Linked DNA regions of Xenopus tropicalis. The protein of the gene in region 1 interacts with the protein of each later gene in a pairwise test. Links are inferred from orthologs where the notes say so. Each region holds a gene or a part of one and is shown in the gene's direction. Other genes may lie near its edges.

The links. The genes of interacting proteins can lie anywhere in the genome.
Region 2: the proteins of sgta (region 1) and ferd3l interact in binary tests that used the Homo sapiens proteins (3 or more experiments, as listed by UniProt). The two-hybrid records come from large-scale screens. The link is inferred for Xenopus tropicalis from reciprocal best matches to the Homo sapiens genes SGTA and FERD3L.
Region 3: the proteins of sgta (region 1) and tmem174.2 interact in binary tests that used the Homo sapiens proteins (3 or more experiments, as listed by UniProt). The two-hybrid records come from large-scale screens. The link is inferred for Xenopus tropicalis from reciprocal best matches to the Homo sapiens genes SGTA and TMEM174.
Region 4: the proteins of sgta (region 1) and nme3 interact in binary tests that used the Homo sapiens proteins (3 or more experiments, as listed by UniProt). The two-hybrid records come from large-scale screens. The link is inferred for Xenopus tropicalis from reciprocal best matches to the Homo sapiens genes SGTA and NME3.

What each region holds. Positions count from the first base shown.
Region 1 is NC_030677.2:99,266,571-99,270,051, forward strand, and holds the end of sgta (small glutamine-rich tetratricopeptide repeat-containing protein alpha), read left to right. Parts: intron 1-1,398; coding exon 1,399-1,500; intron 1,501-2,141; coding exon 2,142-2,256; 3' UTR 2,257-2,979; downstream 2,980-3,481. UniProt on the Homo sapiens protein: Co-chaperone that binds misfolded and hydrophobic patches-containing client proteins in the cytosol. Mediates their targeting to the endoplasmic reticulum but also regulates their sorting to the proteasome when targeting fails.
Region 2 is NC_030682.2:38,476,578-38,479,669, reverse strand, and holds ferd3l (fer3-like protein), read left to right. Parts: upstream 1-1,335; 5' UTR 1,336-1,789; coding exon of another isoform or gene 1,790-1,792; coding exon 1,793-2,179; 3' UTR 2,180-2,584; downstream 2,585-3,092. UniProt on the Homo sapiens protein: Transcription factor that binds to the E-box and functions as inhibitor of transcription. DNA binding requires dimerization with an E protein. Inhibits transcription activation by ASCL1/MASH1 by sequestering E proteins.
Region 3 is NC_030677.2:183,103,206-183,107,185, forward strand, and holds the start of tmem174.2 (transmembrane protein 174), read left to right. Parts: upstream 1-1,172; 5' UTR 1,173-1,635; coding exon 1,636-2,297; intron 2,298-3,980. UniProt on the Homo sapiens protein: Regulator of plasma phosphate homeostasis. Decreases serum inorganic phosphate (Pi) uptake by regulating the sodium-phosphate cotransporter SLC34A1 trafficking by PTH and FGF23 in the kidney.
Region 4 is NC_030685.2:21,449,955-21,453,942, forward strand, and holds the start of nme3 (nucleoside diphosphate kinase 3 precursor), read left to right. Parts: upstream 1-1,180; 5' UTR 1,181-1,229; coding exon 1,230-1,275; intron 1,276-1,309; exon of another isoform or gene 1,310-1,900; coding exon of another isoform or gene 1,901-2,003; intron 2,004-2,100; coding exon 2,101-2,231; intron 2,232-2,692; coding exon 2,693-2,794; intron 2,795-2,996; coding exon 2,997-3,109; intron 3,110-3,845; coding exon 3,846-3,963; 3' UTR 3,964-3,988. UniProt on the Homo sapiens protein: Catalyzes the phosphorylation of ribonucleosides and deoxyribonucleoside diphosphates, other than ATP, into the corresponding triphosphates with ATP as the major phosphate donor.

The sequences.
Region 1 (3,481 bases):
TAAATCACTGGGGGGTTCCAAACGTTAGGTACTCCCATTGATTGTAATAACTTACCTAAAAAGGGAGAAGAAAGAAAGAGGATCACTTGCCTGCAGTAACCTCTGGGCAGTTCAGTTTTCTCCCAACAGGAGCACTGGCCAGGAGTTAATGCAGGAGAGTGATCCTCTTCCTTCCTTCTCCTTTTGATAAGATCCCAGGGTCCGCGCATGTGCAGTTGAGCAAAAGGCCGACTTTCCACTGCACTGCGTATACACAAAGACCGAAGAAGAGGATTGTTTGGTCGCATACACCCCGGCTGGTGCAGTTTTCTCCTAACAGGGGCACTGGCCAGGGGTTTCAGGTAAGCGATTACAATCACTGGGGGTGCCTAACATTTTGGCACATTACTTCCCCCCAGTGATTGTAACTTTCCTTCTCCTTTAAGGGGTATTGTATACCATGTATAGATTTAGAATAATTGTTTTTGGGTCTCATTTTGTTTTCAGAATTAAATTAAGGGAGGTTAAGGTATGCATATAGGGTACTATATTGTGAAGTTATGTTGGTAGGTTATTCTTGATTTAGACTCCACAGAAAAGTGTCATTCCACTCCAGCACACACTGACCCCACAGGGCAGATGGACTAATGTTAGGTGACATTCTGTAGCTAGCAATGTAACCATTTATCTTTGTCATTTTTGGTGTTAAACACATTTATTGTACTAAAAGTTCAGTGCAGGGCACACACTAAAATCTTGGGCACAGAAAAGGTTAGTGCTGACAGTTTCTGTGGCGGTGTACAGCAAATTTACAAAAATCACAAACCCCACACTTATGAAGTGGGTAATCTGCAGTGGAGCTGCGATATACTTTGTTTAAGTTGTTAACTATCTGTACAATTGTACATTATCCCCAATGCCTTAAGCCACATACGAGCAAGCACTCCTGCAACCATGGAAGTTGAGTAAAAAAAAAAGTTACTGCCTGACATGTTTGTATCATGATGGTACTTAATCATAGGCTCATTATCCCCAGTGTGTCTTAAAAGGTTCCTGGGCCATTATGAAACAGTTAAGTCGTTTTCCATTTGCAAAAGTCACGACTTTATTATAACTTATAAATGTTCAGTTAGAGCTAGGAGGTCCTAGCATTACACTTGTAAAGAAACGTACATCACAATATGATTATCATAATATTATCATAATTATATTCCATCATAATCCATAATCAACAAAGACCCATTCTTTGTACAATATCACATTTTGCCTATGTTCTTTTAGGCTTAATAAACAGAAAACCCTGTATTTGGTATCCTCTATTTAACCACACATTTAGTAGTTGTGTGTAAAACAAAAGCATTCAGTTTTTTTATCTGAATATCCTGAAAATAACATGTTCTCATTATCTTTGCTTTTCAGAATGTCAGGAATGATCTCTGGTGGCCACACACCAATGGCTGGGGCTGGAGCTGCAGCTGCAGGAAACACTCCTCCAAATGATTTGGCCAGTCTTATACAAGCGTATGTCTAATGTTAATTCTGTCAGCTTGTGGCCATTGTTCAGTTTATGATAGTAGATGGAGTTGTTGTACTGCTGAACACTGACACAACCCTAACTTAAACTTTCTAAGATTGTCAGCATAGCCCTCCACTGCTTTCTCCTCCAGGGTACAGTGCATGCATGTAAAGCCACCCCATGTTGTAGGATACCAGTGCCCATGTGCATTGCGTACCATGTACCTAGGAACAGTGAAGTGTTGATTTCCTAACAATCTTCTGATTGGAAATGCAGGAGAACCACAATGGAGGAACCTAAAAATGTTTTAGCTTTGAAGGTGGAGCTCAAACTTAATAGGCAAATGGCTGCTGAGCTGTTTACAATTGTTCGGTACGAAAATTTTGTGACTTTCGGATCGCCAATACGATATTATCGTGACTAATACTATTTTTTCGTAAGCATTTTCGTGATATTTGCGATCTTCTGAAATTTTCGTTTCCAATACGATTTTTTTCCCATTCGTGATTCGGATTCGTGGATTTGTAAATGTGCCCCATAGTGTTTTATTTTAAAGCAAGGATAATTATCAGATAATAAGAACATTGCACCTTTTCAGCAGGTTATAAAAGTAATTCCAAACCACTCTGTTGTTTTTGTTTCCTAGAGGACAACAGTTTGCTCAGCAGATGCAACAGCAGAATCCAGAGCTGATAGAACAATTGCGCAGTCAGATTCGAAGTCGACCTCCAAGTTCAAGTCATGATGAGCAACAAGAATGAGCAGTGCTGGCAGGCTGAAGGATATTGTATTACTTTCTTGGATTATGGGCAGAAAGTACTTGAGTGACTACAATAGGGTCTGTCTTCCTTGGCGGTTTATGCGAACAGTTGCTCTGGGCATACTTTGTTGGAAGAAACGTTTTTCTTACCTCATTACCCACTTCCTTACTACCATTTTTAAAGATCCATTAAGCATCACTTGCCATAGGGTAGCACAAAGGGCTGATCCAGTACGAACATTTAGTCTTTTTGCTCCTGTTGAAGAAAAGAAAATCCACAATATGTTGTTGTTTTCTTCTCCTCCATGGCTATTACTGTCTGCATTTCGTTTGAACAGTGGTGTATGTCTTGGGTGTGGCGACCTTTAACATCAATGTGATAACCGGAAGGTTACAACTGGATCAAGAGACATTTCCTGTAGTTAAATAGGAAACCTGTTAGATGGAGACTCAATCTTCTGGTTCTGTCATTACAATAATAAAATGATCTGTGGTCTATGACTGAAAATGAGCATTTACTTTTAAGAGAAAAATCACTCCTAACATTTTATAGTTTTAGAGTTCTCTTCTCTGCAAGCAATTACCAGTGTCTCAGAAGTCTTATTAAAAGATCTCACAGGTTTTAAGTAATTTAAATGCTCCTAAATGAGAACATAATCCTCCAGCCAACTGTATTATAAAGGTGTTTTAATAAAGAATGAATCACTGTTAACAACTAACCAAACATTGCTGCTTTATGGTAACTTTCTTAAAATTGACTACAAACACTAACGTACAAAATTCATGTTAACCTTTACGTTTGTGGCAATGGACACTGTATGCGCAGAAATGGCTCACAGAATTGTGCAGGATCACCGCTAAAGGGATATTAAAATGACCAAGTATAGATAAAATATACAATATTATGTAAAAATCATGCATTTCATTTACTCATTATTGAATAAATCAGTGATGCCCCTTAACTTGAGAGATATTTACAAAGGTTTTTTTTGTGGTGGGGGTTGTTTTGTGTCAAAAAGGGCAAATTTTAAAATATCTAAATTCTTCTAGCCAGTAAATGATAACCTTAATGTGCTTTACAGAGTCTGTTAAATATTCACATTGGTCCTTGCTTGATAACTTTTAGCTTACCTAGTTAGCAATTTGCAGTTGGTCTTCATTTTTCCTATTTGTGAATTAAGCTTTTTGTTGTGCAGTTATGACAAACCAAAATGTGAGCAGAAATA
Region 2 (3,092 bases), on another chromosome or scaffold:
ACTCTGCCCTTTGGCAAGATACAGCTGCAACTGGTTTAATTTAAGCATTTTGATTTCCTATATTTTCCTACATTTAGGACACAGAAAGTAATACAAATGTAATTCCACGTATAAAGTATTTTGCCTGATTGCTATTGGGGGTTTTCCATGCAACAATGCATTAAATATATGAGATAAAATCACATCAACATAAAAAGATAAGGACAGTTAGAACAGATGATATGAGCATGTCAAGGCCAATAGGTTAGAACCAGCAAATATTTGTTAATTTTTAATTTCCTGCCCCGTTGGAGCTCACAATCTAAGGTCCCTGTCACACACACACTGGGGTTATTTCATTAGCCATCAGTTAACCTGCCTGAATATTTTGAATTACTTGGAAAAATTCAAGAAATTTCAGCTTCTGATACCCAGCAGCATTTTGTTCGTGTTTTCCTCCTGTCCTTAAAAATGTCACTGCCCTGTATGGTACCAAGGATAAGTGCCTAACATTCGGATTTTTTTTGTCCAGTTAGTCATTACGTTGCTGTGGTTTTTTTTTTTTAATTTCATTCTTAGTCCTATCCACACGCTTCTAATCTAAGGATATACATTGGTGTACAGCTGGCATCCATGCAGCTATGGAACTACAACTCTCAGCAATCTCCAACAGCCAATAATGTTTAAATAACATAGCAACAGCATGGCCATTCCATTCCATACAGTAAACACTATAAACAACATTTTCTTTAATGGATGAAATAGATACATTGTTTTTTAAATGATTAAATAGCTATTTCATGTGAGTGTATAATGTGGCATGCTTATATTTCTGTATATGATGCTGTCAAGTTGTAAATCCCTCATAGACACTGATTTTTAGTTAGCAATGTATCAAAACCTGTGCGGTTATAAGATAAGAAGCGTTTTCTTCTAGCTCCAGTTCTTTTCATTTGGAGTTTCTAATCAAGGCCTCTGAAGAGTAAACCTATACTTAGACGTTTACACACTTCCATTGTAATAACAGCAGTAACAAACTCATCTCTGAAAGTAAAAGAAATGTTTTACTGCACAGTTGGGTCCATATTTGAACTTATTTGCAGGATAAAGCTGGTTCCAACAGTTACAATTGGGAATGCAATATTGGGTACGCTACACTGCTTGCTTAAGCAAATGGAGGTCCTGTCATTCAACTGTCTCTGCACTGGGAAACAGGGTAAACATTTCCTTTTGACCCTTTTCACAATGGTCCCCTCTCCAAAAGATCATAAAGAGCGAGCATAGACTTATCTCATATCCACTAGAAAACTCTTTCTCCAGAGTTCAGTCATTCTTGCAGACAAGGAGCAGCAGCAAGTTCCTGCATGGAATACTCCTGTGCCCATCTACTTTGAAGAATAACTATTTTCTACTTTCTCAGCGGGTGAGGACTGCCAGCTTTACTAAAAAGAAATTCTCTTTCTTCGCTTTAACAGGATTTAAAAACTCAATTGGTTTCCCTCTGGAATGTCCACGTGTCCTATGTTTCTGTGTGTCTGTTCCTATCAACATTACGATGAAACTATTTTTTCGCTGTCTTTTTTTCCTTTTTAATCCTGTTACCTCCTTGGATATAAATGTGAGAGTTGGCACTTGTTGTGCTGTAGGGGCTATTTCCACAAAAGGCTTGACAAGTACGTTTCACTACTCACTAGAAAATTGTGCAACTGCAACAGGTGGAATTCCAAAAAGGTTTATTAGAGTCTGATCTTCTTTTGCTTTTTGATTGATGATCTGATAGATTTCTTTTTACAGAGAGAATCCCCCTGCAATGATGAGTCCAGCTCAAGGTCTGAACCTAGGGGACCGTTTCTATGACTTTCCTTCATTTGGAGACAGAGCCATCTCGTTTCATGAAGATGTCTCTGCCATAACCAGATTTGAAGATGAGGAGACAGAATATGAAGAGGATTTCACACTTTATTCTCCAATGGGCCGCCCCAAAAGAAAACGAGTGATCACATATGCCCAGCGCCAAGCTGCCAACATCAGAGAGAGAAAGCGGATGTTTAACCTCAACGAAGCCTTTGATCTGCTCCGAAAAAAGGTACCAACTTTTGCCTATGAGAAGAGGCTTTCCCGCATAGAAACGTTACGCCTTGCCATAGTGTATATATCCTTCATGACCGAAATGCTGAAAAACTCTGAAAATAAAAAATAGGACATGTGACAATGGCGCCAGTGCCCATGTTTAACATATACATTCAAACAAATACCTGTTTATGGTCCAGCAGTCAAAGTGTGTTCTTCACCTTTCTCTTGGGCCATTCTAGTATAAATAAAATACTCCCATGGGATAGCGTTAATACAAGAAAGGGAGCTGAAAATGAGTTCACAGCCCTATGTACTAATATTGTAAATAAACATAAATGTTTTCAGATTCTACTATTCAACATAAAATGTAAACTAATTTTATTTTTGTGCTTAATATTGTATTTCATTATATTACAATGATGTATTATCTATCTACTTTAGTAGATAAACTATGTAAAAAAATGAGACTTTCTGTGGAATGTATTGATAAAAGTGTATCTTGTATAAAGATTAAATGATAAATTAATTGTAACCAAATTTTAGCATGCGTTACTCATTTTATATGATAATATGAAGTTTACAAATAATAATTAATAATTAAAATAGAGGTATGGGACCTGTTATCCATAATGCTGGGGTTTTTTTGGATAAGGGATCTTTCTGTAATTTGGATCTCCATACCTTGTCTACTAAAAAAATACTTAAACAATTATTAAATCCAATAGGATTGTTTTGTCTGCAGTAGAGATGAATTATATCGTATGTAGGATCAAATGCATTTTTATTATTACAGAGAAAAATCAAATCATTTTTAAAAATATAAATTATCTGCTGATGGAGTCTATGGGAGATGGGATGGGAGAATAACAGGTTTCCAGATAATGGATCCCATACCTGTAATAAGAAAAATATAATTAGCGCCTTGATTAAAAAGAAATGAACTATTTGTAAAAGAAATTAAAATAATGAAATCATATTAAAATAATAGTAGCTGTTTTTCTGAGCATGGTTATTATATTCTTTTTAACATGGTATAGAAA
Region 3 (3,980 bases), about 84 Mb from region 1:
TATATATTGGACATTGAGGCATTCAGTGCATTAAGCTACTAAGACCTGCCCTTCACCTTCCAGATACAGTCAGGTGATTCCAGTGGAGCCAATGAAAAAGGCAACCATTTGGGAGTTTTAACCTTAAAAGCAAGCAAGTTGCAGGTAAAATGTTTAAAATGTATAATGAAGTAATAGAACTTTTAATAAATCAGATAAAAGTGAGCGTAGGACCGGCCAGACCAGGGATGACTTTAATATAGTTGGCCAGCTTGAATATATTGCAATATATGGACAAACAATCCTTGTTTTGCTTAAAGGGGAGGGCATTGCTTGGTAGCCTTGTGCACTGAATGTCTTAATGTTCAATTTATATGGATAATGGGTGAGTGCAGAGGACCCCTTGTCTCTGCATGTACAACATCTATGTACTATATTGTTCAGCTTGTTCAGCCCCAAATGATCTGAACAATAAAAAAGTATTTGACACAGACAGTTTTTTAGTGTATTGTATTGCAGAAAGTTTTCTTTGGAGAGGTATTCCCCATGGCCAAACTGCTGGAGAGCATATGGAGTTGGCCCATGTATGAATACTTTAAAGGCTCATAAACAAGGTTAGGGGCCACCTCAAAGAACCCATCAAGTATGTCACCAGATAGTCGTTTTCCTTTATGTAAGGAACTGCCTGTTCATTTTCTGGTTCAGCATTTTTGAAGAATTTAATCTTTGTTTTTCCATCAAGACTTTAATTATAGTGCTGTTATTTATGCCAAGAGACAAAGGAGACATTTGACCTAGAACTCAATAAAAGTGTTCGGAAGGATAATGTGAGACTTATCAGAAAATAACATATCTTAGTTTTAATCTCTGTTTTTATGAAATGTCATTGACTCACTAGAACTAAACAATGCACAGGAGCGCCCCCTTCTGGGAAGCTGTAGTGGGAGCGGCTTAGCTCAATAAAATAAAAGGAACTTAATATTTATTTAATTATGATATTATGTACTTTATATGTATTTATTACTTAAATATAGCCAGTTAAGTAAAACCAGAACTTGTAATTATTTTGAGAATGTTTACTTTCCCTTCCACAACTAGATTGACCAAGGATTCCCTTCTTTCTTTTTACAGAATCCCTTCATGCTTTGTCTCTTAGCAGTCTTGGCAATTGGTGGTTGTTGGCAGGAGTGAGAGCTAAAAATGATTACTAAAATGGCTGATAAAGCTATTTATAAGGTGCTAAAAAAGAATAAAGCACCTACTTGTCCTGCAGCTTCTGTAGTGCCCTTGTGAGTCCCACATACAAGATCCACTTCATTAGACCACAAAGAAATAGCCTCTGAGAGGATAGTTTGGGAGCTTTGTCTGTGAGGGTCTGCAGCCATGCTAGACTTTAAGTCTGCACAGTGGGAAGGGACTGTGGCTGTGGGATAAGAGTAAACAAACAAACAAACCACGTTTCCAAGTTGGCAGGTAGCGTCTCTTTTGCAATAAGTATGGTTTGGGAATACAAAGCTGCCATGTCATGCATGTGTATTGTTCTATCTCAGATGCTCAGACCTTTATCCCTTGCTGCTAAAGTCTATTGCTTTATCAGACAAGCCGCAGTGATCATGTGACTGAACAACTGAACTTTTACCTTGGCAAAGGCTCGGAATGCCTTTCCATCCCGTAGCTGGGAACACAAGGCATTCTAGAATGGAACAGAACGACAGACATGATGATGATTTTGCTCCAAATGTTTTTTCAATCTCATCTTATCCAAGCAACCAATCTGATGCCCATGTTTCAAGTGGGGACAAAGGTTGGGGCACCCTGCTGTTCTCTGGAATCTTCCTGGCATTAGTGGGGATTGCTTTAACTGTGCTGGCATGGGTGAACAATAAGCAAACTGGTTTTGACTGGACTCGGTTAGTGGGACCCATTCTGCTGATTGCGGGTGCGATGGCTGTACTGATTTCTGTAGGGAAGTTTATGATGCTGACATCATGTAAGCCATGCAAGAGCACGGAAGAGACGCCATTAGATACTGAGCAGCTTTCAGGAGGACAATCTTTTGTTTTTACTGGAATAAATCAACCCATAACTTTTCATGGTGCTACTGTTGTACAGTATATTCCTCCCCCCTATTCAACTCACGATTTTACAGGAGGTGCAACACCCATATCTTCTAATCCCAATTCTAACCATTCTGCATGGGCTAATGGGACTGCATTAGGTCCCCCTCAGTATTATAACATCTACCCAATGGACAATCCTGCTTTTGTACAAGATGACCCATCCCCAGCTCAACTATCCATGACTGAAGTATATGACAGGTCTGTTTTTCAATTTTATTTTTGCAAATTACCCTCTCAACCTTCTTAAAGAGGTAGTTCACCTTATAATTATCTTTTAGTGTGATGTAGACAGTACTATTCTAAGGCTATTTGCATTTGGTCATGAAATATTTACATTTTTTTCTACAACTTCCAGGTTTGGCATTCAACTTTTATTTAGTTGTTAAGTCTTGATTACCCTACCAACCAGGCAGTAGTTTAGAAGTCAGTTTGGAGATAAACAAAAGAGGTCTTTTATAAGCAACAAAAAAATAGAAATATTATTGAACCCTCAATCTGTTTTAAAATTCTGGGTGAATAAGGCTGAGAGCCAGATAGCATTTTCATTTGCAGGCTGAAAATTGGCAAAAAAGGAACAATAATAATAAAAATATACAATATAAATGAATTGAGGAGGCATACATTGAGAGTCAATGTGCAAGCTATACTGGGATTTGCCTTCTCCTTGATATATGTGAGCCTTTCAGCAGATACAACACAGCTTTTGTATCCCTTAATTAAGATTTAGATATGCCAATTCAGGTATTAAAACCCTTTTTCAGAAACCCATTATCCACAAAGCTCCAAATTATGGAAAGCCCATCTCCCATAAAATCCATTTTAATCAAATAATTCACAATTTAAAAATAATTTCCTTTTCTCAGTAATAATAAAACAGTACCTTATGCTTGATCCCTTATCTGGAAAACCCCAGGTCCCAAGCATTCTGGTACCATACTTGTACTGAGAAAAGCTGGAGAACCATTTGAGAGAGTGAGGGAAGAACATCTGTATGTGCTACCAAAAATAGCATACCAGATACAATGCAGGGGATATTATGCCCCAGCATCTCTTAAATATATTTGTTGGATCAGTCTAACCTGATTCCTTGGCTATCCCATGGCTATAGGGGGATCCTGTATTCATATTTTGGTGGACTTGTTGAGTGACCCTGAGCTTTTGGGAGATGGTGGCAGAGTTGGTCTGCTATTTCCTTCATTGCAGGATCAAAGCTAACCTGAATGCATTCTATTTGGGTCTGAGAACTCTCTCTTTAAAAGTACTAAGCCTCCTTAAACATATCCTTACAGCAGCCACTTGGAAAAAGAGTTCCTTACTGGAAAAGATACTAATAAAGTTGTAGTAATAGCTTTACTATAGTAAGAGATATAGTAAAGCTATAACGTATTGCAGAAATGAAAAGAAGAAGTGATTACCTACTAAATGTTACTGATCCCCACCACAAAATTATTTAACAACCCCTTATCTTTGGGAATAAGACAATTTCATAAACATGTATAGAAACTCATCAGCCAGCCCCCCGCTGAGCTCCCTATTAATTGTAGGCTACCCATCAGTCACAGGGTCTGCTTCCTCTATGGTTATGCCCCAGTGTATGACATACTGTATATGTATCACCCACTGTATGAAAGGAAGTAGGCATCAAAGATTAATATTCCATTTTGTTCCTTGTTTATGCAAAAGGAGGAAGCATGTAAATAAACAGAAAATATTGTGTATTATTTTGGTTCATTTACTGCCATTTTAAGCTGTATTATCCTCCATACCATTAACAATTGGAGGCAAAATGATTTGGATAAAATTCCAGTTCTATCCAATGTAGTTTTATGCTACACAGTAGGCATCCCTCTGCTTCTCCAGCTTTTACATTTTGCCCAGTGG
Region 4 (3,988 bases), on another chromosome or scaffold:
CTCGCCAAGTAATCAAATCTTAACGTGTATGGGCACCTTACAGAAGCTGTGAGGATGTCGGCCTGCGGGTCCAGCGGGTTTGGGGCCAGCCCACACATCACTACATGCAATAAATAGGAATATACCAGATCCTGGATTTGCCTAAATGCCAGAACTTTTTGCAGGATTTGACCAAATGTATAACTGAATTTAAACGGTACAGTTTTTCGATTACTTTTAAATTCATATATGTAAATATATATTATATGCATAGGTTTGGCTTTGAATACAATTGAATATTTTGTTACCTGAATGCTCTCTATTAATTAAAGAGTACAGTGCCTAATACCTAACACTCTTTGCGGGTCGGTTTAAATAGATATCTCTAAATGGTTAAAAAAGAATCTACATGGCAATGTACCTCAGCCCCTTCAGCTGAGCTCAGATCTTGCTGCCATAGTGTGTGCTCTGATATATACCCATAAATGTGACACAACTGGATTATGCTAAATCCCAGCAGAATGCATGAGGCATCAATATGATCTGCTGACCATCTTCACAATTAAGGGTGAAGAAACACAGAGCTACTAGTAGCAGCTACTTGTCTTGGCTACTAAAATAGACAATGCTGATCTTTTACTGATAATTGTATCTATGTGTGTTTTAGCAGAGGCAATTCTCAGTATTGTCTATGGCAGGGGATTTTCTGGAGTTTAGTTGCCTGTGAAAAAGTAGCTGCTACTAAGTAGCTCTGTGTGTCTTCCCCCTAAATGGAATGTTATAATTTTTTTACCTGTGTAGCAATAACTACTCAGCATCATGTGACACCCTGTATATGTAACAATAAGAATAACAAAACCCCTAACAGCTTTTCGCTCTAAGCTCCCCTTTAAACAAATCCTAGGATTAGCCTGTTACTCCCACACGCTGCCATCATAATCGCATTATGCCGAGCCCATACGGTTAAATGTGAAGACCCAGGCTAATTATTCTTGTATGTTAGTGTACACACTCATGGGGTTCTTTATTTATTATACCGCTGCTCTGTATCAGACAAAGGGAACTCCTCAGGGTATCATATGGATAAGTGGATAAGGCAATGGAGCCGGCTATACAGAGCCAGACACTTCCCAGCATCCCCACAGCCACATGATTGACAAGCCCGGCGCTATCTATGGGCGGCGTGCGCGCTCCCGCTGCTGCTGGCTCTTCCCGCGGGCTCGCTCCCGCCCTTTCTCTCCGCTCTCGCCATGATCTGCTTGGTGCTCACCATCTTCGCCCACATCTTCCCTACAGGTGGGACCCATCGGGGGGTTGGAGTAGATCGATAGCAGGGATCAGGGAAACCCCTGGGGGATCCAGCAAACACTCGGAGCTGATTGTAGTGTGAAACGCGGGAGGCTGAATGGAGAGGGAGCGATCGCTTTTCTGTTCTTACTAGTTAGTTCAACGGAGGCGGGACTACAGCTCCCAGCATGCCCTGCCGGCCCTGGGTTTCGGATCCCTGTTATGGAGTAGCGGAGTGGTGTATCAGTAAATCTGGGGACAAAGGGGCATCTGGTTGCTAGGGGCTGATTACCTTAGCAACCAATAATGTTTTATTTTCTTTCTCTGAACATATGTGCATGGAAATAAGTGCCCTTGGGGGAATGTCACATGGGGATAATTCTTTATTTTGTCAGCAGTTTCCTTATGGAATAGCTGTGCCAACAAAAGTACAACTGCCAGGAGTCGGCTGGATCTGTTGGGCACCATGTTCTGCTTAGCCCTTCTGTACAAGGAAGGGGCATTGGCCAACTGGGCAGCATCTATATACAGACCCCTTTTCATTAGTCCTATGGTTCTCAACTCATATATAGATAGATAGTATATAAATAAACGTGTTATAGATTAACAGGCCCAGACCATAGGTTGGACCTCAATGGTAAGGGGGCTCGTACCAAATCTGAAAAGTGGGAAAACCATCGTATTGGGCAGTATTCAGCATCCAGAGCGCTGCAGTAGTATATGTGCTCCCTCTATTGGTCAGTAAAGGGCATTGCGGCTAAAAGTAACTGCTATTTGTATAGAGGTAATGCATTTCCCTTCTGTGATGCGCTTTCCTTGCTTGGTCTTCTGCAGCCTGGACAGGGATTAATGAGCGCACTTTCCTGGCCATCAAGCCTGATGGGTACCAAAGGCGACTGATTGGCGAGATCATACGCCGCTTTGAGAAAAAGGGATTCCATCTGGTGGCGATGAAGATAATGCAGGTGATATTGTAAAACCCAGTTTCTACTGATGACCGAGATAGACAGACATGTAGAACCTTCTGATTGATATTAGGAGGAGAATATAAAATACTTTTGGGTTCTATGATTACACAGAGCCAGGTCCAGCCTCTCTGAGGATTATGGCACACATAGCAATTCTGGGGAGTCAGAGTGCTCCAAATAGCCTCTCATCATATCTGTCTGTGGGAATCAGGTGAAAACTCCCATGTGATTTTCATTCATCACCTGAATTTGTAAATACGAAGGGTACAGATCTGCAATAAGTAATTGTGACCTGCATTATAGTCAGCATCCTCATTAGGAGCAGTCATATAGTGCCCTTCCTTTACAGAAACAGACTCAGAAGGGTTAAGTGGGATTTAACCATATTAGTGCCAAAGAGCAAATATTCTATGGCTTGAGAAAACTGAGGGGTTATAATTCTGTGTATTTGGATGCAGGCCTCGGAGCAACTGCTCAAGCAGCATTACATTGCTCTGCAGGACAAGCCCTTCTATGACCGTCTAGTGAAGTACATGGGTTCCGGACCAGTGGTTGCTATGGTAAGGATCGCAAGGTTTTCTTATTACCTTAATATACATTTTATATATATATATATATATATATATATATATTCCTCCCACTTCTGTAGCTTTACATCTCTTCTTCCTGCCACACCAGGTTTCTCTCCAACCCTCTCTACTGCCACCTTGTGGTGCTATCAGATGTGCCCTTCCTCTCATACGATTTCCTTTTCCCTCGTAGGTGTGGCAGGGCTTGGATGTGGTTAAGACTGCCCGTCTAATGATTGGGGAGACAAACCCAGCTCACTCTTTGCCAGGCACAATCCGAGGGGATTTCTGTGTAGATGTCGGCAGGTAAGTTCACTGGGTTTGGAGATAGCCGCATTGAGCCACTGTCATTCAATGGACTACTAATAGATGATGCCGTATTAATAAAATGAGCTTCAAGTTTATGGTGTATGCCAGAGCTCCGGGAAGCTTAGGTTACACTAAATTCAAAACAAAAATATCTGTTGAATTATAAAGCAACAAGAAGATAGAGATTAACTATAGTATCTTTGTATCTTTGATTTAGTGTAGAAATGTGTTTGGTGTATTAAATGTAAATTTGAACACAGACTTTTCAGTTAGGTTGAGGGAGTCGTGGGAAGGCTCTGTACAGTACTTTTCCTCCTTGTGGATGGCATGAAGGGGTGGCACTAGGGCATAGCAATAAGGGAAGCAGGTCCACTGGGAAAGTAATGGGGTCCTGGAGCCATTTGTAACATGAGTACCGAGAGTCTCGGCACTACCCCTCCCTGAGCTGCACCACTGCAGACCCTCAGTGGAGTCGTGGATGTGGTGGGCACCAACTCACACTGCTTGATGTTCTCTTCATTGACCGGTTGCTGACCTGGAACATGTGCACCTGAAGCTAGGTCTTCATCATCTTCAACTCTGCATGCTTCTGGCTCGAGATCACTGGGAAGAGAAAATTAAGTGGCATGAGGTGACAGCCGCCAACCCCACCGTGCTACTCTGCTTTTTAGGGTTCTTTGCATCCCTCTTTATTTCCCTACATGCTCATGGGGTTTCTCTGTTTCTCCCTCAGGAACGTTATACACGGCAGTGACTCCAGGGAGAGCGCCCAGCGAGAGATCGCTCTTTGGTTCCAACCCGATGAGCTTGTCTGCTGGCAGGACAGCACAGAGAGCTGGATATATGAATAAGGAGCCGCCCTACCATGTTCCAGTG